Mus musculus: one gene and its partners. The protein of the gene in region 1 interacts with the protein of each later gene in a biochemical or structural test. Links are inferred from orthologs where the notes say so. Each region holds a gene or a part of one and is shown in the gene's direction. Other genes may lie near its edges.

Region 1 (5,612 bases):
GCTCACAACCATCTGTAATGGTATCCCAAGTTGTCTTCTGTTGTGTCTGAAGAGAAAGAGAGTGACAGTTGTAGTCACACGTGTCTGTAATCCCATGTTTTGTGACAGACTTTTCCTGAGGAGGTATAATAAGTACATGTGTCTTTTTTTTTTTTTTTTTTAGTTTTTTGAGACATGGTTTCTCTGTATAGCCCTGGCTGTCCTGGAACTCACTTTGTAGACCAGGCTGGCCTCCAACTAAGAAATCCACCTGCTTCTGCCTGTCAAGTGCTGGGATTAAAGGTGTGCCACCACACCTGGCACATGTGTCTATTTAACCCCACATAGGGAGTATATAAATAAAATGAGGGTTTTGAGATAAAGTTAAGAACAGGACTATGACTTCTCCAAGGTGTAGTTGAGGGGAAGGTTTTTATTGTAGATAAAGAGGTAGGGTACAGCCGGGCTTGGTGGTGCACACCTTTAATCCCAGTACTCGGGAGGCGGAGGCAGGGAAATTTCTGAGTTGGAGCTCAACCTGGTCTACAGAGTGAGTTGCAGGACAGCCAGGGCTGCACAGAGAAACCCTGTCTCGAAAAACAAAAAATAAAAAATAAAATAAAATGAGGTAAGGTACAGCCAGAGGCACTGAAGAGTTCAGAGCAAGGAGAGAAAGTAGACTAAATAACAACCAGTAGATTGGACTTGGCCATAACAGGAGAGAGAATGGGGTAGAAAGTGAGAAAGATAAATATGAGAGGCAAGAGAGCACCTGTCTAAATGGCAGGGTTACGTGGGAATGATAAGCTTAGGGAGGGAAGATTATAAACTGGAAAAGTTTAGGTTAGGGGCAGGGGGAGAAGAGTCAGAATGGACTTTTAACAGGTATTTGCAATATGTATTGTATTTTTCTGGTTTGGTTGGTTTTTGTTTTTTGAGACAAGATCTCACTATTTGACCTCTCCTGCTTTAGCCTCCCAAGTGCTAGGATTAAAGTCACGTGGTCTGCCAAGCTCAGCAGCTTTTATTTTATTGTTGTTTTTGAGAAGGTGTCTTTTTGTAGCCCTGGTTTTTCTGGAACTCACTATGCAAACCAGGCTGGCCTTGAATTCATTGAGACACTCCTGCCTCTGCCTTCGCAGTGCTATGGTTAAAGGTGTGAGACCACACCCAGCCCCTGTAAATGTAACTTTTATTCACCAGATAATTGTCCTTTAAACTAGGCCTGGAAACCTTCAGCCTCTGAGATTTACTGCTGAGTAAGCTGTTTTTTGCTGGCTCAATTCAGCTATTCTGACTCAGAACTCCCCTCCAAGCTGACTGATTCAAATGGGCTTCTTTTTGCATCTCACTTAATTTCCTTGCTTTACCTCAAACTAACTAGCAATCTGTTCTAATCTTTTGACTCTTTTTTTTTTTTTTTTTTGGTTTTTCGAGACAGGGTTTCTCTGTATAGCCCTGGCTGTCCTGGAGCTCACTTTGTAGACCAGGCTGGCCTCGAACTCAGAAATCTGCCTGCCTCTGCCTCCCGAGTGCTGGGATTAAAGGTGTGCGCCACCACGCCCGGCCTTTTGACTCCTTATTCTCTAGCTTGTTCTTTTTTTTTTAATATTTATTTATTATATGTAAGTACACTGTAGCTGTCTTCAGACACCCCAGAAGAGGGCATCAGATCTCATTACAGATGGTTGTGAGCCACCATGTGGTTGCTGGGATTTGAACTCAGGACCTAACCACTGAGCCATCTCTCCAGCCCACTTGTTCTGTCTTTAACTGTGTCTAGCTTATTATAACTCTCTTCAACCTGTCTCTGTAGGGGAGGGGAAACCTCTCCCTGTAAACTGCCTCTGAATTCCATTAACTGAACAGAACTGACTAGAACTCAAGAGATATGCTTGCCTCAGTCTCCTAGGATTAAAGGCATGTCTGTATCCCAGCCTGTCTTCCAATGGGGATGGCATAGTGAGTTCTCGGATCACATAGACCTAGAAGATCTTTGGATATGATCTCTTGCCAGAGTGGCCATGTTCTGAATTATAATTCTTCTCTAAGCTCCTTATTTTAATTTACATGGAATCAGATGATACATCTCCTATCTTGGCCTTGAGTTTTTGGTTCTTGTGCTTCTGTCTCTCGAGTAGCAGAGATTACAAGGAGAAGCCTCCATGCTTTTCTTTTACCTTCATATTTAGGCCTGAAGGAGTGGCTCATTTTGTTTTAGTTTTTCAAGATAGGGTATTTATTTATTTATTTTTATGTAGCCCTGGCTGTTGTGGAACACCAGGCTGGCTTTGAACTCAGAGATACACCTGCCTCTGCCTCTTGTGTGCTGGAATTAAAAGCATGTGCCAGCACCAGCATAAAATTAGTAGCCACCCATAAGAAAAGCAAACACTGCTCATGCACATAAAAAATAATAAAAAGAGAGCATGGGCTAATAGGATAGAACTTTGTGCAAAAAACAAAACAAAAAAAAAATTCATGTAAGAAAGTCAGTGAAGCTAGATTTGTTGGTGACACAGATCTGCTGCCACAGTACTTGGAAGCAGAAAAATTGCAGATTTGAAACCTGTCTAATCTAAAAGTCAATTTAAGACCAGCATGAGCTAAATAAAAGAGATTCTGTCTGGAACAACAAACATTCTGTGGAGCCAGACATGGTAGTGTATATCTGTAATCTCATCACTCAGGAAACAGAGGCACAAGGATAATCCCACTTTTAGAGCCAGCCTGTTCTACACAAGGAGTTCTATGGTAATTTGGGCTATACAATGAGGCCTTGTTGCAAAAGTAAGTAAATAAACTCACAAACTTGAGATGAACTCCATGGTAGAACATTTACCTAGCAATCAGAGTCAATGAGAAGTCAGAAACAAGAGCTGCATAATAGGACCTACTCAAATGTACTATATTACCCCTTTACAAGATTTCTGATCCCACAGTCTTTTTTTTTTTTTTTTTTTTTTTTGTCTACAGAGCAAGTTCCAAGACAGCCAAGGTTACACAAAGAAACCCTGTCTCCAAAATAAATAAGCCAAAAAAATTTTATTTGTGTATTTATATGCAGCTAATAGGCCAGAGAAGACTTTAGAGTCTTTGAATCTGGTGGTGTGGGTCACTTGGTTGTAGTTGCTTGAAATGAAATTCCAGTCCTCAGGAAGAGCAAAAGTACTCTTAACTACTGAGCAGTCTCTCTAGCTCCCAATAAAAATAAAAGTTGAAAAAACAAAAGCTAGGTGTGATGGCACCTGCCTTTAATTCCAGCCCTTGGGAGGCAGAAGCAGGCAGATACCTGAGTTTGAGGCCAGCCTGATCTACAGAGTGAGTTTCAGGACAGCCAGAAACTCATTTCAACTATACATTGAAACTCTGTCCCCAAATATAAACAAAACAACAAAAACAACAGGGGCTGGAACAATAGCTCAGCAGCTAAAAGCATTGATTGTTCTTCCAGAGGACTGGTTTAGATTCCTAGTACCCTATGTGGTGGTTCACAGCCATATGTAACTTCAGTTCCAGGAGACCTACCATCCTTCTCTAAACTCAGTAGGCACCGGTGTGCTGTGTTGCACATACATATGTGCAGGCAAAATACTCATAAAATAAATAAATCTAAAAAACATTTTGATACACAAACAGAGAGACAGATACAGGGCTTCTCTGTGTGACAGGCCTAGGCTGTCCTGAAACTTGATCTGTAGACCAGTCTTCCCTTGAACTCACGAAGATCCACTTGTGTCTTTCTTCGGAATGGCATATAAAAGTAAGTCCTAGTGACAGGTATAATGGCACACATACCTTTAATCCTACCTAGTTTTATGCAAGCAGAGGCAGATGGATCTCTGAGGTCAGCCTTGTCTACTTAGTAAGTTCCAGGACAGCCAGAGCTACATAGAGTCTTTCTCAAAAACAAAGGAATGGGTTAAGTAATTGCTTCTGACAATTACTATTCTAATTTCTTGGTTCCCTACTTTCTAGCTCCAGAGTGATAAATCATAATATTCTCATTTTTAGAGCCTCAGGAGATCCTGGCAAAAAGAAACAGCACATTTGTCACATCCAAGGATGCGGCAAAGTATATGGCAAGACCTCACATCTCCGAGCACACTTGCGCTGGCATACAGGGGAGAGGCCATTCATGTGTAATTGGTCATATTGTGGGAAGCGCTTTACACGTTCGGACGAGCTTCAGAGACATAAACGTACACATACAGGTGAGTAAGACCCAAGGGAAAAGGGAAAGTAGTAGACAGAAAAGAAATGAGGGCTGGAGAAATGGCTCAGTGGTTAAGAGCATTGACTGCTCTTCCAGAGGTCCTGATTTCAATTCCCAGCAACCACATAGAGGCTCATAACCATCTATAATGGGATCCAATGCCCTCTTCAGACAGCTACAATGTATTCATGAATAAAATAGATAAATCTTTAAAAAAAAAAGAAGAAAGAAAGAAAGAAATGAGCTCATAAGCTCTCACCTCTCTTATTCTCATCTCCAGCTCTCCCCCTCCCTTCCCTCCTTTCTCCACTTGGCCATGGCAGTCCTCTCTCTTTCTACCTTCTCTCTTTCTGTCTTTCTATAATAAAGCTCTAAAACCATAAAAAGAAAAGAAAAAAGAAATGATATGCCCATGAAGCAAACTGAAATTCCTAAACAATGTATATGTGAAACTAAGCGTGTCTCCAAGAGTACTTGAATTAGTCCAGAAGGATACACATCAACCTCAACTTTGTTCTGACTGCTTTTTGGCTAATTTATCTTTTTTTTTTTTTTTTTTAAACTAGGAGAGAAGAAATTTGCCTGCCCTGAGTGCCCTAAGCGTTTCATGAGGAGTGATCACCTGTCAAAGCATATCAAGACTCACCAGAACAAGAAGGGAGGCCCAGGTGTAGCCCTGAGTGTGGGCACATTGCCCCTGGACAGTGGGGCAGGTTCAGAAGGCACTGCCACTCCTTCAGCCCTTATTACCACCAATATGGTAGCCATGGAGGCCATCTGTCCAGAGGGTATTGCCCGTCTTGCCAACAGTGGCATCAACGTCATGCAGGTGACAGAGCTGCAGTCCATTAATATCAGTGGCAATGGTTTCTAAGATTAGACACCCAGTGCCAGAGACATATGGGCCAATACCCACTAAGCCCGGGATGCAAGGTAGCATGGGTCCAAGAGACATCTGGAAGAGAGAGCCATGAGGCATTAATGTGCTTGGTGGTAGGAAGAATTGGGAGATGGTACAAAAAAAAGAGATGGGATTGTGGCACCCAATGTCACTGGTGACTCCTTGAAAATGGAAAATATTAGTGAAAATTCTGTTGGTGCCACCCTTTGATCAGCATTTATCTCATCCCAGGTTCTTCTTACACTTCTTACCCCAGCCTCCTCTTCCTGTTTTTCCCTCTTAGCTCTCCCATGATGGATTCCCCCCCCCTTTTCCTAAAGCCATCATGCCTTGATAAATATATATGATCATTGAAATACTTTTTAACAAAAACAGATTCTATATTATATATATATATATATATTAAAAAATATATAGAGATGCTTTCACAGGGGCTGGCTGGGAGGAGGAAAAAGACCATTCTGTGACCAAAATACCTTGGTCTTTTTTTCTTTTCTTTTCTTTTCTTTTTTTTAA
Region 2 (6,174 bases), on another chromosome or scaffold:
CTCTCCCTCTTCCCCGTCTTCTCGTTCGTTCGTTTGCTCTTTTCCTGTGACTGACTTGTCCGCACTAACAGCCGCCCCACAACAATATGAGGAGTTACAAATGCTTTATTAATAATCATTGAAGCATTGTTTGGAGTTTGAGCATCCTGGGAATAAAAATGATGAAAAAGGAAAAAGAGGATTGATTGGAAAGTTTATTTTAAGATCATCTTTGGGATGAATAGGAATCATCGATTCGGATCGAATTTGTGGCAGTAGCTGCAGTTTCATGTGTGTGCTTTGTCGTAATTACGCCTCCGAAACTATGATATACTTCAGATTTTTAAATGAGGAGGCTTTTCATAATTATATAAAATGAGCGGGATACAGACTAAGATTATATTGAATGTGAACTAAGATTCTAAACCAAGTAGACTTCACAAATCATTAAAATGATGGAGTTTTTTTCCTCATTAATTTTTTTCTTAACGTTTTCAGTGCCACTCCTTACGCTCATAAAACCTAATTCTGAAAAGTTTTCATAAGATATACAGTAATTTCTTTCTCCTCGTTTTTTCCCATCACAACGCGTTCTCCCCTCATCATCCCTTTCCCCTCGTGTGTGTGTGTGTGTGTGTGTGTGTGTGTGTGTGTGTGTGACCATACACGACCCATACTAATCAGGTCTCAGAGTAAATAGCAGCGCAGGGCGATCTCAATGTAAATTATGCTTGTCAGAAGCACCCCCCCCCTCACTTTCTCTTCTCCTCCCCTCGACATCCCAGACTGTAGGTAGCTGGGGGGAGGGGAAAAGGACTTTCCAACCAATGGCGTGAAGGAGGCTTGGCTAACCTTAGCCTCCCATTTTCTCTCCCCCCCCCCACCCCCCATTCAGGGCTCTGACCAGTCAGTCGCCTTTGATTATCAGTTGCCAGCAGCCCTTCTCTTGGCTCCTTGACACGAGCTCCATATAAGGCAGAGATCTCCATAGAAACGTGTCAGTTTCAATAGTAGTGTCAAAGTTCACTATATACAGACATTCGCGCAGATCCCCCTTTCGGAAACATTGCTCTGAGTGTCCTCCCGTTTAAACGCATTCAATTTTTTGGTCCCTCTCCTCTCCTCTCCTCTCCTCTCCTCTCCTCTCCTCTCCTCTCCTCTCCTCTCCTCTCCTCTCCTCTCCTCTCCTCTCCTCTCGCCCCTCTCTCCCTCCTCTCCTTTCTCTCACCCACTCTCCTCTTGCCCTATCTCTCCCCCTTTCTTTTCCTTACATATTCTACTAGTTGTCGCCCTTCCTCTTTCTCTCCCTCCTTTTCTCTTTCACTCCTTTCCTCTAGAAGAGAGAAGACTAAACTTGAAAAAAAAAGGAGGAGGAGGCACCCCTCAGTATTCTTCTTATCGTTATTATATATATATATGTATGTATATATATATATATATATATGATTTTTTTTGGAGGGAGGGTGTTGGTTCCCAGCTGAAGAGCACTTATTTAAAATACTAAAAAAAGAACATTTTTGGGCGATCTCCAGGGTTTTTTAACTAGCTCTGTGTGTTATAGCAGAAGAAGCAGAAGAAGCAAGAAAGAGGAAAAGAAGAGGATTATTTATTCGACCTACTTTGGATGTCTCTCTCGCTTTCTCTTTTTCCTTATTTTCTCAAGCATTTTCTTCTGATTTTTATTTTTTTCCTATTTCGCTGTGAATTCGTCGCTGGCGTGAATTATCTCGTATTTTTCTCCCCCTTCCGTCACCTCCCGAAAGAAGAAGGCAGAGAGAACCCGGCGCCACCCGCACAACAAAAAGAGCAAAGTGTGTGATCTTCCTCGCCGGCTGCCTCCCGCTCTCCAGCGCTGCCTTCCTGAATGGCTGGCTGCGTCCGGCCCTGGACCTGGCCCCCAGACACCCGAGCGCCCTGATCCTCGCCGGCAGCTTCGTCCCGATCCTGCTCGACTCTCCCAGCTCCCCGCACTCTTGAAACCGGGCGAGGGCTCCCGCCAGGACAGCGGCGGCGGCACGGGCAGCACCGGCCTCGGCTCGCTCTCGGGCTGCGGCCCCGACTCCGGCTCGGACTCCCGCCCGGGCCCGGGCTCCTCCAGCGGAGCACGCAGCGGCGGCCAGCTCCTCCAGCAGCGTCTGCAGCCGCGACCTCCTCCTCCGCGGCCGCCGCCGCCCTCGCCGCTTCCTCTATGTCGGCTCAGCCCGCGCTCTGCGCGTAGCCCCAGCGGCCAGCGGCCAGCGGGCGGGCGGGCGGGCGGGCGGGCGCCCGGCGCGGGTGAGCGAGTGTGTGTGCGAGTGTGTGTGTGCGCGGGGGTGCGGGCGAGGCGGAGGGCGAGAGTGTGCGCGCGCCGTGGCCCATGCCCGCCGCCCCCGGCGCTGCGCCCCGCGCCGCTCCCGGCTGCCGCCTGTGCCATTTCTGATTTTGCAAGTTGGGGAAGAAGAAAAAAGCGAGAGAAGGGAGCTCGCTCGCTGGGGGGTGGGGAGGGGGGAGAGAGAGAGAGGCCCCCCCAGGAACGGAGTGCGGGGGGAGCGGGCGAGGGGAGCAGGGGTGTTGGGGGGGGGGAGCCTGAGAGCCTGGGGGGGCTGCAAAAAGAGAGAAAGAAAACAGCAGGAACCACAACAAAACGCCAGCAGGGCGGGCGGGCGCGCAGCAGCAGCGGGGCGGCTGAGGCAGTAACGGCGGCGGCGGCGGCGGCGGCGCAGGCAGAGGCCGGTGCCCGGCTCGGGCTCGGCTCCGGCGACCCCGGGGCGCCCGGTGGGCCCCCCGCCCCCTCCCCCTCCCCCCTTCCCCTTCCCCTTCCCCTCCCAGCGCGCCCGCGCGCCCCGCGGCCCTCGGCGAGCAGCTCGGCTCCCCCCAGCGCTCCCTGGGCCCAAAGATATGGCAATGGTAGTTAGCAGCTGGCGAGATCCGCAGGACGACGTGGCCGGGGGCAACCCCGGCGGCCCCAACCCCGCAGCGCAGGCAGCCCGCGGCGGCGGCGGCGGCGAGCAGCAGCAGGCGGGCTCCGGCGCGCCGCACACGCCGCAGACCCCGGGCCAGCCCGGAGCGCCCGCCACCCCCGGCACGGCAGGGGACAAGGGCCAGGGCCCGCCCGGTTCAGGCCAGAGCCAGCAGCACATCGAGTGCGTGGTGTGCGGGGACAAGTCGAGCGGCAAGCACTACGGCCAATTCACCTGCGAGGGCTGCAAAAGTTTCTTCAAGAGGAGCGTCCGCAGGAACTTAACTTACACATGCCGTGCCAACAGGAACTGTCCCATCGACCAGCACCACCGCAACCAGTGCCAATACTGCCGCCTCAAGAAGTGCCTCAAAGTGGGCATGAGGCGGGAAGGTGAATATTTCTTCTCTGCTTCTCTCCCTGCGCTTCGCCCGCCTCCCTGCTCTTTCTTTCTCTCTCGCCTTGGTGCCTGTGGCTGTGGGGATGGGGCTTCTGTGGTCCCAGCCGGTCCGGGCTTCCCAGTCTTCGCTGCTTTCCTCCCCCAGCGTCCCCCCCCCCCCAGCTCGCTGCCGCTGCCTCCCCCTCCCGCCCTGCGCTCCTCTCCCCGGCTCCTCCACCCCGCCCGCTGCCTGCTCAAGATTGTGTCCCTGGGATCGTGAGCTGTAGCTTAAAAATCCCTCCCTTCCTCTGTTGGATGTGCTCCGTGTGTGTCTCGTTCCCGCTTGTGTGTGAGGATGCTTGGGGCTGTGCTAGCATGAACTTGGGAGGGGTGATGATTTTCTGCAGAAAACCGTTTCTCTCCGTGTGTGTTTTTGTTTTTTGGTTTTTTTTGTTTTTCCCATTCTACTTTCTCCTCTGCCTCATCGTACCTTTTATTTATAATGGGAGAGGACTGGGGCTGGAGGACCCTGAACCATAGATTCATTGCTGCCACCATCCTTTAGGAAGCTTAGCTTGGAAAAAGAGGAGTGAGATTTATTGCACTTGTAGGTCTAATTAGGGGGGAAGGGGGGCTTCTGGCCTGTTCACTGGCTCCCTCTCCTCTTCAGGGATCTGGGGCCGCCTCCTCCCGAGCTGTGGCCTTGTTTTCACCCCTATACTTTGAAAGGAAAGTTTGTGACTGAACCCTGCTTTCATAGTAGTGTCATTTTTAAAGCTTGATACTCGTTTTATTTCTTCATCAAACTCCACCCTCTGCTTAAATACTGCATACAAATTACAATTTACAACGGCATTTACCGATCCTTCTGATCTGGCTATAATGCACAGACTGCAGCTGGCTTGAGCTTCTGCATCATTTAATCGATGTGTGAGATTTTTTTTTTATTAAGCACAACTTTTGATGTTTAATTTGGATATGCTTCATATTCATGTGGCATGAGATGGAACACTTTTCTTACAAATATATTTAGCGGTTTATAGTTAAAGTTTATCTCCTGGCAATCATTAAACATATCTTATAGTCAAATTAGTGAACCAGTCAATTTCGAAGAACATAGATTACTTCTTCTTGTAATTGACTTCAAAATTATATTTTATATGCCACAAGAAAAGAAATTGAATTCCTTCAGATCTCAAGGAGAAGGCAAATATGACGACTCCATTGCTAGCTCCAGGGAGATTGTTTAGGCATCTGAAAAAAAAAAAAACAAAAAACAAAAAAAAACAAAAAAACTTTGAATTGTGCTCTCATTTAATTGAAAAATAACTGCCAAGTTCAAAACTATAATTAGAAAAAGTATTCTAACCATTGTGTTTCAAAGAGCGTAAACCGCACTGAAACTCTTGTTGGAATTAGAACCAAAGAAAATGATGTAGAGCCTGAGGTAGGACAGCTCTGTGGACATGGACCTCGCTCTACTAATTTGTTGGGGGATGGCAGTTCAGTAGCCCTAACTTTCCCTAGAGTTGTCTTTGTTTACATGGCAATTGAAAATGCTGGCACTGTTGAAGTAAAACATACACATTTAAAAAAAAAAAAAAAAAACTTTGGTCAGCTTTAAGAACTCAATGCATGCTTACGTTTTGCATTCAGATGGGTAATGAATCCAGTGTTTTTGCAGTTGCAAGCTCGCGCATTCACTGGGCAAAGCTGGCTGCAGGTTGCAGTGGCATCGCACAGGACAGACATTAATTGTAGTTCCTACTTTTTTTCAATATGTTTGGCTACTGTAAGTTCAACTTCTTTGAAATTTTTTAATTTTCTGTTTCTTTTAATAGTGAGAAATTTGTATGGGGCAGTCTGGAGGAGGGAAGATGGGAGGAGGTGTGTGTTATGCTTGCTGGTAGTCCAACTCAGTAAGATATATATATATAACTTGTATCTTTTAAAAATTATTCTGTAGCACTTTAGAGATTATGGGAACATTTTATACACTTGCTGCTTGTTTACAAGTGAAGAGTACTCTAAGGTTTGTGGCTTTCTCAGGTTTCATTTTTAAAAGAGAAACTTTGATTTGTATCATTCTGAAAGGATTTCATTTATATCTGTGTTGCTTCTTAGTAGCTGGGAGGTTGGGTGGTACTTTCTTAGCCATCCTGAGCTAGGGGCCTTGCAGTCAGGCCTAGTTCTTCTTCTCTAGCTAAAATAGCCAGGGATGCAGACTATGGATGGACACACGGAGCCGGTGAAGGTAGATGACTTCACCCTAGATCTCCTAGCAGTGTGATCTGTGAGTAAGACCCAGCAAGCAGGAGAAGATGCTTCGGGAGCGAGTGACTGCAGGAAAGAACCACAGTGCGTTGGGTGCGCGCTGCGGCTCGGCGATGTTCACAAGCCCCCCTGGATGCACATTGCCTCTTTTCTCTCTTTCTTTTTATCAGCGGTTCAGCGAGGAAGAATGCCTCCAACCCAGCCCAATCCAGGCCAGTATGCACTCACAAACGGGGATCCTCTCAATGGCCACTGCTACCTGTCTGGCTACATTTCTCTGCTGCTGCGCGCAGAGCCCTACCCCACGTCGCGTTATGGCAGCCAGTGCATGCAGCCCAACAACATCATGGGCATCGAGAACATCTGCGAGCTGGCAGCCCGCCTCCTCTTCAGCGCCGTCGAGTGGGCCCGCAACATCCCGTTCTTCCCGGATCTGCAGATCACGGACCAGGTGTCTCTGCTGCGCCTCACCTGGAGCGAGCTGTTCGTGCTCAACGCGGCCCAGTGCTCCATGCCCCTGCACGTGGCGCCGCTGCTGGCCGCAGCCGGCCTGCACGCCTCGCCCATGTCCGCGGACCGCGTCGTGGCCTTCATGGACCACATC
Region 3 (6,185 bases), about 64 Mb from region 1:
GAGACCCCTAGCTCATAAAGGGGTAGCCTTTTATCTCCCGATAACAATAGACAAAGGTAATTTATTTAAGTAGGGATTGTTGTGATCTTAAGTTTAAGCATGGCATCTGGGCTCTGGAAAACAAGTTGTGATGTGGGTGGATGTCCTGGGATTACAGACAGAAATAGCTTCGTGCAAGCTAGAGGTGAAACACTGAGCCAAGTGCCTGCCTGGTGCCCATTAGCCCAGTACTTGGGAGGCTGTGGCAGGAGGGTTGTCTAGGTAGCCAGGGCTACACAGAATTTGTCAGCCAGCCAGGGCTGCATAGTGAGACCCTGTTACTGAAGACAAAATGGGGGGAGGGGGGTGAAGACAGGCAGACAGAGTACCTTGTAAAACAAACAGTAAGTAGGTGTTTCTGAGGCAAAGCTGTCTAGAGCTGGGGACTAACTAGATCTCACTTAAGTTTTTGAGGGAGGGAGGCAACTGTGGCTAGACTGGCAATGATCACCCCTTAAGACCACAAAGAAAGAGGAGTTTTAGATTTGGCGATATTAGGTCTGAAGTGCCTGGGGAAGGCTTTCTCTGAATCTCCAGGTCACCACTACCCAGTTTCTCCTACCCCTTTCTCTCCTCTTTCCTGCTGTGATCACTCCAAGTCCCAAACGCTCCTTACAACTCAGCCTGCAGAGTGGGTGTGGGGGCACCACGCCAGACACAGGGTTCAGGCTTGGTGGGTCTGGCTGTGACCTCTCCCGGAGGCGGCTCCCTGACAGGAAGGCAGGCAGGCAGGCCTGCCACTGGGCACACACAAGAGCTTCCTGCGCTGCAGCAGGTGCCCAGGCCAGCTGCTCCAGCCCTTCAGACTCAGATCAACAGGATGGGCCAGCCCAAGCGGAAGGAAGCCTGCAGGGAAGGACACTCCTGCAGACAGAAGCAGGGCACCGGGTGGAGAGAGGCAGGAAGAGCTGCCTGGGTTGCTGAGTTGGCGCTCCTCCAGCGGATTCAGAGCAGGCAGTGACAGGAGGCCATTCAGTCATCTTCCCCCACTCCCACCCCCACCCAGGGCTTCTCTGGCCCACGTTATTATCATTACATTTGTTGCTGGCTGGCTTTAGGTATACCAGAAGGAACCATCAGATAGATGTTGGTAGAGCTGGAGGCCTCTAAAACAAATTCCCTCCTTTACCTAGTCTGTGGTGACTGAGAAAGGGCACCTGCTTTAGCCCTTTTAGCCCAGCAGGCTGAAAAAGCCCACAGGAGGGCAGTGACTTTTGTCTCATGATCTGCCTGTCCCAGGGAGAAGATAAAAATCTCTAGTTTGCTTTAAGCCCCGTTATCACTCCCTCCGGCTCCAACAGCTGCCGTGAACCCGCACAAACGGGCGAGGGGGCGGGGCAATAGGGCGCCAACGAGGAGCCAAGAGCTCTCAGACTAGGAGGCTACAGCCTCAGCCGGGCTGCTGCACCCACAAGCTGGCTTCCCTAAGAAGCTCAGCTTGCCCTCAATCCCTGGAGCGGTGGAGGGGGCAGGGACAGGAACTCGATGTTTGACCGGGTCAGGAATCCCACCTGCAAGCATGCTTTCCTCACCCCATCCCCTCAAGCGGTTTCTTGGTAGGGCGTCGGCGAAGACTGTGGTCCCGCGGGTGGGGGAAGTGGAGTCCACCTTGGAAATAGCTCGAACATTGTATTTTAAACTTCAACTACATCAAACTCAAACTCGATTCTGCCACCGAGCGTCGGGTCTGGGGCTCCCTGCCACGCCACTAGCTCTTTGGTACCGGCTTCCCTTAGTCCCCACTCCAACCGCCCAGAAGGACGGGAGGGACGCGCAGAGGCGGGCCCTGCTGCTAGTGCCTGTGCTGCAGATGGGAGGACGAGCCAGCGCCTGCCGCCTTGGGCGTGGGCGGTGAGTGCGAGCAGGTGTCTGTTCCGTGACAGGGCTCCCGCCGCCACCATCTCGCCCTGGTTCTCCCCAGTCCTCCGGCTTAGAGTGACAAAACCCGGCAAATGCTCAGAAATGCCGCTCAGTGGTTCATCCATCCCTTGCTTCCACGCAAGACCCACGAGAACCACGCTGCCAAAGAACGTCTGGTGGCTCGGAGCCGCGCTCGCAGCCTCCGCCTCCGCCTCCTGCTCGGGGTCCCGCCCACTCCCTGGCGGGCCCAGACGCTGTGGGCGCGAAGGGGACTGGGCGGAGCGGGCTTCCCTTCCCACCCCCCACGTGGGGCCGGCTCTCCGCAAAGCCTAGTCGCCGCCACCGCGCCTCCCAGCTATGCCCCGCCGCCGGCGCCGCCCCCGGGCATGGGCGGAGGACTGAAGGCTAGGGTTGGGCGAGGGGCGTCACGGAGTCAGGTGGTCCCCGGAGTTCCCCGGGGCTGGACCGAGGGAACACGGTGCCTCGGGTTGTGTACACGCTCCACTGACAGAGCCTCTTGCAGCCGGGCAGCCGCTGATCACGCGTGGCTCTGCCAGCTCATTGGCTGAGGCCTCACACACCTTTGCCGCTGATTGGTCGACACTAGGCCCCGCCCTCTACCCCGCCCGCGGCGCGGGGCAGGCAGAGCGGCTACCTGCACGGGGAGGGGGGCAGACAGCGCGGAGCGCGGTGGCGTCGACGTCTAGTGTCTCAGTGCTCCCGTCTGTGGCTAACTAAGCAGCCAGCAGCCAGGCAGCTCGCGACCTGCGGCCAGGCAGCCAACCATGCTCAACTTCGGCGCTTCTCTCCAGCAAGCTTCGGTAAGTTACCTGAGGATGCTGGTCCTTTCCTGCCGGTCAGTGTAGGGGAGCCAGCCGGAGCGCGAAGCATGAGCCCCTAAATAAGCCACGCCTGAGAACCCAGGCTGCAGCGGGGTCTTGCAAGGGATTTCCTCCCTGCAGGCTGGAATATCATCGAGGGCATGTGCAAAAAAAAAAAAAAAAAAAAAAAAAAAAAAAAAGGGTCGGAAGAAGCCTGGGACCTGGACCAGGGGAGAGCGATCCTGGGTATCCAGGAGACAAGGAGGACTCTCAGGGAGACCCCAGGAGACGAGTGAGCTGGAGGGGCTGTCTCCCTGGAAGCGCGGTTTAGATGGAGGGGGCGCCCTGCACCTGGCTCTGGCGGGAGATGCCCCTGTCTGCACCAGGAATGCGACCCGGGGTGACAAGGACTACTCACGGTCTGCCTAGCCGAGAGGAGGGCGCCTGCTCTTCGGGGGAGGGGGAAACCCTGCCAGGTGGAGACCGCGGGGCTGGGCTAGCCCGGGGCTGGGGGAGGGGATGGCCGGCTTCGCGCGGGGTATGGAAGGCACGCGGACTCTGCGGCCGCCAGGGGAGCCGCGGCGCCCCCGCAGACGTCGGGAGGGGACTCCCCATCCGAGGCGGAGGCAGGTGGCTGCCTATAGATTACTCTTGGCAGGGGGCAGGGTCCTGCCTTGGAGCCCGACAGCTTGGCGGGGGAGTCGGGACCGCGAGACGCGGGGGCCGCGTGTCGAGGCGGGAACCGTGGGGCCGCGCGCCTGGAGCCCGTGCTGTGGGCGCCGCACGTCTGGGAGCCTGCAGAGACTGCTTGCGGGGGCTCAGGCTGCCGGAAACAGCAGTCGGACGAATGCTGCAGATGCGGGTAGGCTGAGGTCCCGCGGGCCGAGTGGGCGGAGTGCCCCAGGCTCCGGCCGCTCCCCGGAGGCGGCGAGCAGGAGGAGGGCGGCGGTCGGGCTTCCGCGGGGACCCGGCCCCACCTCCCGCAGCCGAGGCGGAGGCCAGGGATGGGCGGCGAACGGGTGCACCCGGGGAGCTTCTCGTCCCCGAGTGACCCAGCCCCGGCCTCCGCCAGGGGCGGGAACGAGGCCCGGCCCTGCTGTCGGTTCCTAAGGGAACCGCGGCTCGGAGGAGGTGGAAGGGGCGGGCGACTCGGGAGCCGACACCGCCCAGCCCTCGCGCCGCCCGGCGCGCACTGGCGAGCGGTTGGCGGCGGCGCCCGCGGCCCCTCCCCGGCCGAGCGGGGGCGGGGGCCCGTGCTCAGGAAGTAGGGGAAAGGTGACGGCGCGGCAATTCCCAGTTCACGTTTCCTGCGCCGCCCGGAGCAGTCGCTGATCACGCTTTGTTCACATGCCTCGCCCCCTCCTCCTCGCGCCCCCACCCTGCCCGCCCAGCCAATCCGGACGCGGGCCGCGGGCCGGCCGGCCAATGGCAGGGGCGGGGCGCGGGGACGTGCGCGCGGCGGGCAGTGTTCCCGGTGACTCACCCGCCAGCCTCATTGAGGTTAGGGCGGCCCCATCGGTCGGTCCCCGCCAGCGAGGATCTCCCCCGCCGGCCTCCCGCGCCCCGCCCCGCCCCGCCCCGCCTCGCTTCTGCCTCCACCCGGCTTCCCTTTCCTGCCTCGCACCAGCTCTTCGCTCCCTCCCGGCTTCCCCTCCCGGCTCACATTCTTCACCCCTGGCTGCCTTTTTTCCCACCCCTCTTTCTTTGAGTTGGTGACTATAGGCTTTTTACACTTACAGTCTTCATCCATTGCAGCTTACATAAAGGCGCGAACGATTATGCAATTACATTGTTAGTGATGTTTCAAGAACCGTGTCTTGTTTTCCCACACTCAGCAGGAAGATAGGCATTTTTAGAAAAGCGTTAAGATTATCATTGCCATTTTATTTATGTATTAGGTTTTTGCTTTGTCTTTATGAGTTCAGGCTGGCCCTGAACTAGTTATATAGCCAGAGTTGGCCTGGAGCCTTATATTCCAGGCTCCCCCACTTTATGAGGCTTTTCATAATTTTTGCAACCTCTACTTTAACCAGAAGAATTTGGAAGTTCTTTTTAAGAGGAAAGTAGAGATGGTTGGTGATTCTTTTGAAATTCAGGTCATGGAACTTTTAATGTGAGACATTAGGTCGAAGGTGTTGCACACAGAGCATGATCGGTTATCAAATCATGTTTTAATTAAATTAAAACCAACTTGTACTCGGGGTTTTTTGTTTGTTTGTTTTTGCATATCCCAAGAACATATTTTATGCCTGTCTGGTCCCTTATGGTACAGAAAAGCATTGTGTTTAATAAATCTGATAAAAATCATAGATATTAAGAGATTGAGACTTGACCAAAATAAAATATTTTTTTCCTCTTTGGTTGCTTTGTGTGTTTTGCATTTTGAGATGCAACTTCCAACTTCTTGGCCTCCACATTCCTGAGATTATACATGTATCCCACCATGCCTGGCTGTATTTGTGTGTGTCCACTTATTTTACTCAATCTCCACCGTATGTGATGAAGTTACCAATTTCAGACTTTAGGTAACTAGATACCACTTTAACCTGGAAGTAGTTTAAGTCAAATTACATTTTAAGACATTCGTCTTAATTCCCTTACTGGTAATAAGGTGGCCTTTAACCTTGAAATAAAATAGCAAGCATTGGGCATTCCTGCGGTTTGGATAACCAGATAACTGATTAGCTTCAACTTTTGTTTTTGTAGGAGGGGAAAATGGAACTAATTTCTGAAAAGCCCAGAGAGGGGATGCATCCCTGGGACAAAGCTGAGCAGAGTGACTTTGAAGCGGTGGAAGCGCTCATGTCCATGAGCTGCGACTGGAAGTCTCATTTCAAGAAATACCTTGAAAACAGGCCTGTCACACCAGTGTCTGATACCTCCGAGGATGACAGCTTGCTTCCAGGGACGCCTGACCTTCAGACAGTCCCAGCATTTGTAAGTATTTTCAGTGGGTAGAAGTGACAGCATTTTTTAAGAGTTTACATAATGGACCTCTAATTCCTCTCCTTGCTTGTGTTTGTATTTGTAGTGTTTAACGCCACCTTACAGCCCCTCTGACTTCGAACCCTCCCAAGGGTCAAATCTGACTGCATCAGCGCCATCTACTGGCCACTTCAAATCTTTCTCCGATGCTGCCAAGCCTCCAGGCGCCACTCCTTTCAAAGAGGAGGAAAAGAATCCTTTAGCTGCCCCTCCTCTTCCTAAGGCTCAAGCCACCAGTGTCATCCGTCACACAGCTGATGCCCAACTGTGCAACCACCAGTCCTGCCCCGTGAAAGCAGCTAGCATCCTCAACTATCAGGACAATTCTTTCCGGAGAAGAACCCACGGAAATGTTGAGGCTACTCGAAAGAACATACCCTGTGCTGCAGTGTCACCAAACAGATCCAAGCCTGAGCCCAGCACAGTGTCCGATGGTGATGAGAAGGCGGGCGCTGCACTATATGACTTTGCTGTGCCTTC
Region 4 (6,092 bases), on another chromosome or scaffold:
ATCCATCTCCCTCTATATCTCAATCGCTGAAATCAAGGCGTCTGCTACCACTTCTAGTCCAAACCACACTTTGTAGAGGCTCATGCCTGTAATGTCAGTATCCGGGAGACTGAGCCAGGAGGACGGCTTAGAGGTCAAGACAAGCTAAAGTTAACAAAGCAAGAGCCAGGCCAGCCTAGGCTACACAACGAGACTCTGCTTCAAAGAAAGAACGGAATAATATTTCGTACAGGATCTTGACCTCCAGAGCATATGGAATTTGATAAGCCCTTCAGTTAACCAAAGTGTGGGAAAGGTGAAATATTTTGGAAGAAAAGCTTTGAGGGTTTGGGGAGATGAGTTAAATCAGTGAAGTGCATGCTGGACAAACATGACAACCTGTGTGATCCCCAGCACCCACAGGAAACCTACGTGTCAGGTACACACTGGACAGCCCAAACTGGAAAAGCACATAGGAGGATGCCTGGGGCTAACAAGCTCTACGTTATTAAGACGTGTCCTCGCTAAAAAAAAAAAAGAAAAGAAAAAAAAAAAAAAGAAAAGAAAAAGAAAAGAGAAAGGTGGAGAGCCAACAAAGACAGATGTTGCCAACATCTGGACTCCTTACATGTATGTATCTGCACACTGCAAATTCATACACAAAAAGGGCGAAGAGACTGGAAACTTTGACAACAGCTCTGATTTAGTGTGGTAAAGATCTACAGCAGAGGCCAATCTTGAGGAAGTTTAAAAAAACTACAGCAGCAGCAATAACAACAACAAAACCCTTAACAGTTAAAAGCAGTCACTAGAAATCTCTTTGACTGTACATGTACACAGAGTATAGCGGAAGACCAAATCAGGCTTCAGCCAGCATGAACCAGGCTACGATGCTCTGGAAACTCACGTTGACTTAACAGTTCCTGCACCCCTCCGAATCTCTTCTTGAAGAGAACAGCTATTCCAGCACCCATTCGACAATCCTCACTGATACAATGGGCTAGAGAGTCTGTTTTGGGACATGCGAAAAGATCTCCTTTCACGTAAGTGATCTAAAACGTGCAAAGGAAAAAAAAAAAGGTTAAAAACAGAAAACTATTTCTCCTTTCAGATCTTCAACAGAGCCCCACCCCCACTGCTTCAACCCTGCTTCTCTGACACTCTGAATTAAAGACAACTCTTCCCAACTTAGGAGTTAACCACGATATTTTAAAGTATCTGTAAAAGGAAAGTGATGGATGGTTATTATCTGCCTAGGGTTGTATTAGCCTTTTCTAAGTAAATCAGCTAGAGAGAAACAAACAGGGAGGGGCGAGAATCCAATTATTGGTTTAATTAAAAAGTGTTTATGCTTTTGACCTCAATTATTCTGATTTTCACTTCACCGATAAATTTAATAGCTGTTACGCACTCGACTTCCTTCTGGATCTTCATTAAGGCGGGTGGCCATGCTACTGAGTCGCTATTTCCAGAATTTAAGAGTTCCTTCTGCTAATGAAAAGGAAAAGCAAGTAAAAAAATACCGCTCAGGCAGCCCGAACATAGCGTGTTCAGATCACCCTGACAACCCATTTAGTCTTCCCCACCTCCTTAAGGTATTCTTTCTGGATGTGAGCTCACTCAGCCTCTAAGAGGCAACACAAAACAGCTTTCCAGGAGCCGAAGCAAAGGCGGTCCTAAGACACACCTCCTTACTTCTAGCAGGGAAGGTTTAGGACAGTCCAGAATTTTCCCAGAGAATATAGCTTAGAACGGGAAAGACCTGGCCACAGTTACACTGAGCGGCAGGGTGAGCCGAGAACTGCTTCTCAGGGGAAGATCACCACCAGTCTTGGAGGTACAGGAAGGAAGGTCTGATAAGACTTCCCCGTCTCTCCTCCTACCCTAAGGAGGGCAACCCTGGGATCCCGCAGAAAAGTGGGTACTGGGGGGTCATCCTTCACCTGCAAAGGAATCGGCCGTCAGCAGGCCCTCCTCCAAGCAGGGAAGGGTTCGGGATGAAACCCTCGTAGGTAGGAAAGCAACAGAAGAGTCCCGACACGCAACAAATCCCGCCAAAGCCTTTTGATTGTACGCACACTCAAGATGGCCGCCCCCATCCCTTAACGGGGCGGAAGTGAGCCTCTCTAGCTGGGTAGCGGCGCCCGCTCTCGGTAGTAAGGGCTTCAGAATTTCCGGCGGGAAATTCCGTAGGCTCCCGCTACCGCTCAGGCATGCGTACCGAGATGCCGACCCCGACTGGAGAAGAAGAGCGCTTGCGCATTCGGCCCCAGAGGGTGGGTCCCAGTGGACGCTTAGAAATAGGTGGGCAGGGGGGCGTGTCAGCGCCTGCGTGGTATATAATTCAGGGAGGTGTTTAAGCAGCAGCGTACGGAGCGTGTGAAAGGCGCCTGCGTAGGCCTTTGGCGGGAGGCGGTGTCAAATCCAGGAAGTGGGTGTGGCCTCTGGAACGCCTGCGCGGTGCTCTTCCTAGGGGGCGGGGCCAGGCTGGCCGGGGTTATGGGGCGTGGTCTCGAAGGCGCTTGCGCGAAGGCGGTTGGAGGGAGGCCCGATTCCCCTTTGTTCAGATTCGCCATTTTGCGAGGCAGCGGCAGTGGCGGCGGCAGCGGCGGCTGGAGCCTCTGATTGGGTTTCGGGGTCCGGTACTGGAGCCAATCAGCGCGGGCAGCGAACCGGGGGAGCGAGGCACGGTGAGTATGAGGAGCCAATATCCAGCGGCCCAGAGCCGGCCCCAGCGCCCCGATTGGCGGGTCTCGCTGACCACTCAGGAGAGGCCCAGGCGTCCGTCGAGCCCGGGAGTCGAGCCGAGGCTGCCCGAGCTGGGTAGCCAGTAGCCCCGGCTCGGAGTTGGTGGAGGCCTGCAGGGGCCGTCCAGCGTTGGGACGGCGTCCTGGAGCCAGGCTTTTCGGGATCTGGATCGTCTCCGGGGGCCGGTGGCGGATGCGCCACCGGTCCCCGATCCTCGGTCCCGAGAGGTCAGGTGGCTGACCGCCCAGCCACGGACCGTGGCGGTTTCCCCACGTCGTTCCAGCCTCATCCTACGGCCTGTCCTTGTGTGTCCCCACATTCCGGGCCCCGACGAGGCCCGTGTGTCCTGAGCTCTGCACAGTTGGGGCTACAGATCCGGAGCGAGGCCAGACTGAGACGCGCGGCGCGGCCTCCCAAGACCCACCCCGGGGCCGTTGGCGCGCCTGCCGCGCCCCTCCTCTCGGCCCGCCACCGGGGCTCCCGGGCCGGCGCCGTTACCACCCCTTTCTGGCTCGTCATTTCCTCCCCGCTCAGCCCGCGGTGCCGGCACACCTCCGTGCTGGAGCCCAACCAAGCACTCTTCCTCTTTTTGCTCAGTGTCTCGGTGTTTGAAACGCCGCTGTTGCAGAACTGATAACCCTTGTGCATCCTTAATGATTGGGGGCACACATCTCGCAGTTCCTATTATCCCTGTCTCCTCCCTTGATCTTTTCTCCCTTGGATGCTCTCTGGTTTTGTTTTCCTTTAATCTCTCCACTCAATAGCTCGGCCCACTCGTGTCTCTTTTTTCTAATACACCTTGAAATCCCGCGCGAACGTTTTCTCAACTGATGTTTTAAAACTTACACGTGCTTAGATTTTCTTTCCCCCTTCGGGGGACAGGAAGTCTTCCAAGGACTGCTAGCTATTAGTCTTTGGCGGACGTCACCCAAGTGCTGCAAGCGAGTAGGGCTAGGAGCTATGTCTGCTCGGTGGAGATTGACTGGTGTTAGTGTTTCATAGGGATCTGATCCAGTACCCAGAAGTGCACTTTACATGAGGAAGCCTATTTTCAGCGCCACGCTTTTGATTGGTGATGGAGGGTGATGTCCTCAGAGAGGAAAGACTGAAAAGAGTAACTGGAACAGATAGTGCGGTTGGACGCAGAAAGGCCGGGAGTACTGAGTTTAGGCGGGAAAGTCCAGTTGGTAAAAACCTTTGCAGGTCTTACAAAGGAATTTTTTGAAAACGGTTTTGACTGGAGGTTAAAAGTTAATCTAGAGTGGATTTCTCCCCTAACCTTGGGGGTGAAGGTTGCTGACCTGAGGATTCTACCCCATAGTCTTGTATTTGGACTGGGTGTTCTAACTTTGATTGGTATTTAAAAAAAAAAAATGGATGCATATGTCCACCTCAAAACTGCCAAATGTTTTTGTGGACAAAAGGCAGTTCTCCTCAGTCACTGTGACTCAGACCTGTGGAGCCTCCACTGGTTCCTCTGCATCTGCACTTTAAGAAAAAGTAGTGCAGACTCTCGATTTCTCTAATCTAATCACAGCCCAGGCATCTCCCTTTGTTTGAAATACTTCACCCTATACTACCTTCATCTGGGTGAGATCTCAGACTTAAACCTAACTCACATGACACCCTTTCCCAGTGCTTTCCTTGGTTTGTCCCCAGTGGAAAAGCCTCTGTCCCCCAAACTCCATTTACTGTATTTCCCTTTAGGAGTCTAATACACATTTTTGTTCCTTTTTAGACTTAAAAGCCTCTTTGAAGTTAACTTGTTTTGTTATTTAGTTCATGCTATCTCCTTAGTGGAGACAAGGAGCACACTGGAGCCTTCAAAGGCCCTAGCTGGGTGTGTGTGTGTGATGCCAGGTCAGATGGACTGCGGTGATCAGATGCTTATTGTAGGAGCATTTCTGGGCATTTCAGCTTTTGAAGATTCTAAGTGCTGGCCAGCTACTTCTGTGCCATGTAAATGGGCAGGAAATGCTATGGAAGAGAATGTCTCAGAGGCCAGAATAAACCCATTCTCATTCCTATTCATTCATATTCTCACTTTCAAAAACACATTCACAAGTCTGTAGAAGAGCTAGACAGACTAAATCCAGCTGGCTCAATTCTGTCATAAACTTGGGCACAGAAAGCGTAAGGAAAGGAAGTGTGTCAGGTTGTGTCACAGTTCTGCTGGCTGAGTTGATGGAGGAAGGAGCATATGGCCGCACTGGAGCCAAGAAGTCGGCACCATGGGCAACCTGAGGGTTGTGCTCCAAGCGCCACCACTCCCTTATCAATGCAGAATGGCTGCTGGGTTTGAAGCTGCCTCCAAAGCCCAGTAGGTTTCAATGGCCTAAGAGTGGAGCATTTGTATCAGCAAGATAACTGAGTCAACTCCAAATGTTCCTTACAGCTATTCCAGCCCTCTTGCCCACTTCAGGCTCCATTCTGCATTTAATCTGAGACGATGCAGACTTAGGACATTTAGCCAAGAAGAAAGTTTTATAGGAAAGCGTCTTGGGGCTAGTGGAAGCGGTAAAATACAGAGGTTGTTAATATCTTAAAAAAAAAAACTTTAAAATCTAATCCTTGTATATCTGTATTTTGGTGAGTTTTTAAAGCTCTCCACACCTGTACAGTCCCACTTGAAAAAAAGGGTGAGAACTTTGGTCATCCCCAAAATGGTCGTAGAGCTAGCTCATCTATTCAGTCTCTCCCACCTCCTTCCCTCAGGCTCAAGGAACTCCAGTTTGCTTTCTGTCTAGGCTTCTGATGTCAGAGTTTCTTATCATGGGGCCATGCTTGCTTATATTGTAGCCCTACTTTATTAGTCTGGAGACAGGTACATTGTTAGACAACAAGGTAAAATTCAGAAACATTGGATGGACTGTAGTAGTACAGGCTTTTAATCCCAGCAATCAGAAGGCAGAGTCAGGTGGATCTCTGAGTTTGAGGTCAGCCTGGACCACCTGTTAGCACCCTCAAGCCCCCTCACCCCCAGTAAGGAAAACATTGGTGCCCTAGTGGAGCCACTTAGTTTGGCTGATTTACCATATTGGACCTGAGGTCTCAAGAACCAGCTCAGGCAACTGGCTCCAACAGGCTGGTGTAAAATCTGCAAACTTAGCCAGCTTTTCAGCTGATGGGATTAATAGTCAGAATATAGAAAGAGCTCAGAAATTACAAACAAAATAACCTAAGCTATAAATACTCAAATTGATTAGACAGTTCTCAAAATAATACACATGGCCTATAGTTGTATTTAAAAATAACATACTGAGCCATCAGGAAAATGCAGATGAAAACTATACTGTAATTTCCTTCTCACACCAGTCAGAATAGTTGTCATCAAGAAAATAAAGAGTGCCGGTGAGTGAGGATAG

The links.
Region 2: the proteins of Sp1 (region 1) and Nr2f1 form a complex in vitro, tested with the Homo sapiens proteins (2 studies listed by BioGRID). The link is inferred for Mus musculus from reciprocal best matches to the Homo sapiens genes SP1 and NR2F1.
Region 3: the proteins of Sp1 (region 1) and Klf10 form a complex in vitro, tested with the Homo sapiens proteins (2 studies listed by BioGRID). The link is inferred for Mus musculus from reciprocal best matches to the Homo sapiens genes SP1 and KLF10.
Region 4: the proteins of Sp1 (region 1) and Nfya form a complex in vitro, tested with the Homo sapiens proteins (2 studies listed by BioGRID). The link is inferred for Mus musculus from reciprocal best matches to the Homo sapiens genes SP1 and NFYA.

What each region holds. Positions count from the first base shown.
Region 1 is NC_000081.6:102,425,964-102,431,575, forward strand, and holds part of Sp1 (transcription factor Sp1), read left to right. Parts: intron 1-3,993; coding exon 3,994-4,193; intron 4,194-4,761; coding exon 4,762-5,069; 3' UTR 5,070-5,612. UniProt on the Homo sapiens protein: Transcription factor that can activate or repress transcription in response to physiological and pathological stimuli.
Region 2 is NC_000079.6:78,195,256-78,201,429, reverse strand, and holds the start of Nr2f1 (COUP transcription factor 1), read left to right. Parts: upstream 1-2,556; 5' UTR 2,557-2,856; coding exon 2,857-3,310; exon of another isoform or gene 3,311-4,226; intron 4,227-4,980; exon of another isoform or gene 4,981-5,075; coding exon of another isoform or gene 5,076-5,088; intron 5,089-5,262; exon of another isoform or gene 5,263-5,328; intron 5,329-5,740; coding exon 5,741-6,174. UniProt on the Homo sapiens protein: Coup (chicken ovalbumin upstream promoter) transcription factor binds to the ovalbumin promoter and, in conjunction with another protein (S300-II) stimulates initiation of transcription. Binds to both direct repeats and palindromes of the 5'-AGGTCA-3' motif.
Region 3 is NC_000081.6:38,297,094-38,303,278, reverse strand, and holds the start of Klf10 (Krueppel-like factor 10), read left to right. Parts: upstream 1-2,567; 5' UTR 2,568-2,684; coding exon 2,685-2,720; intron 2,721-2,729; exon of another isoform or gene 2,730-2,862; intron 2,863-3,138; exon of another isoform or gene 3,139-3,312; intron 3,313-3,378; exon of another isoform or gene 3,379-3,567; coding exon of another isoform or gene 3,568-3,582; intron 3,583-4,203; exon of another isoform or gene 4,204-4,272; intron 4,273-4,457; exon of another isoform or gene 4,458-4,532; intron 4,533-5,426; coding exon 5,427-5,657; intron 5,658-5,751; coding exon 5,752-6,185.
Region 4 is NC_000083.6:48,406,203-48,412,294, reverse strand, and holds the start of Nfya (nuclear transcription factor Y subunit alpha), read left to right. Parts: upstream 1-2,474; 5' UTR 2,475-2,669; intron 2,670-6,092. Other genes in the region: ADP-ribose glycohydrolase OARD1, read right to left, coding at 887-1,031, 1,391-1,429. UniProt on the Homo sapiens protein: Component of the sequence-specific heterotrimeric transcription factor (NF-Y) which specifically recognizes a 5'-CCAAT-3' box motif found in the promoters of its target genes.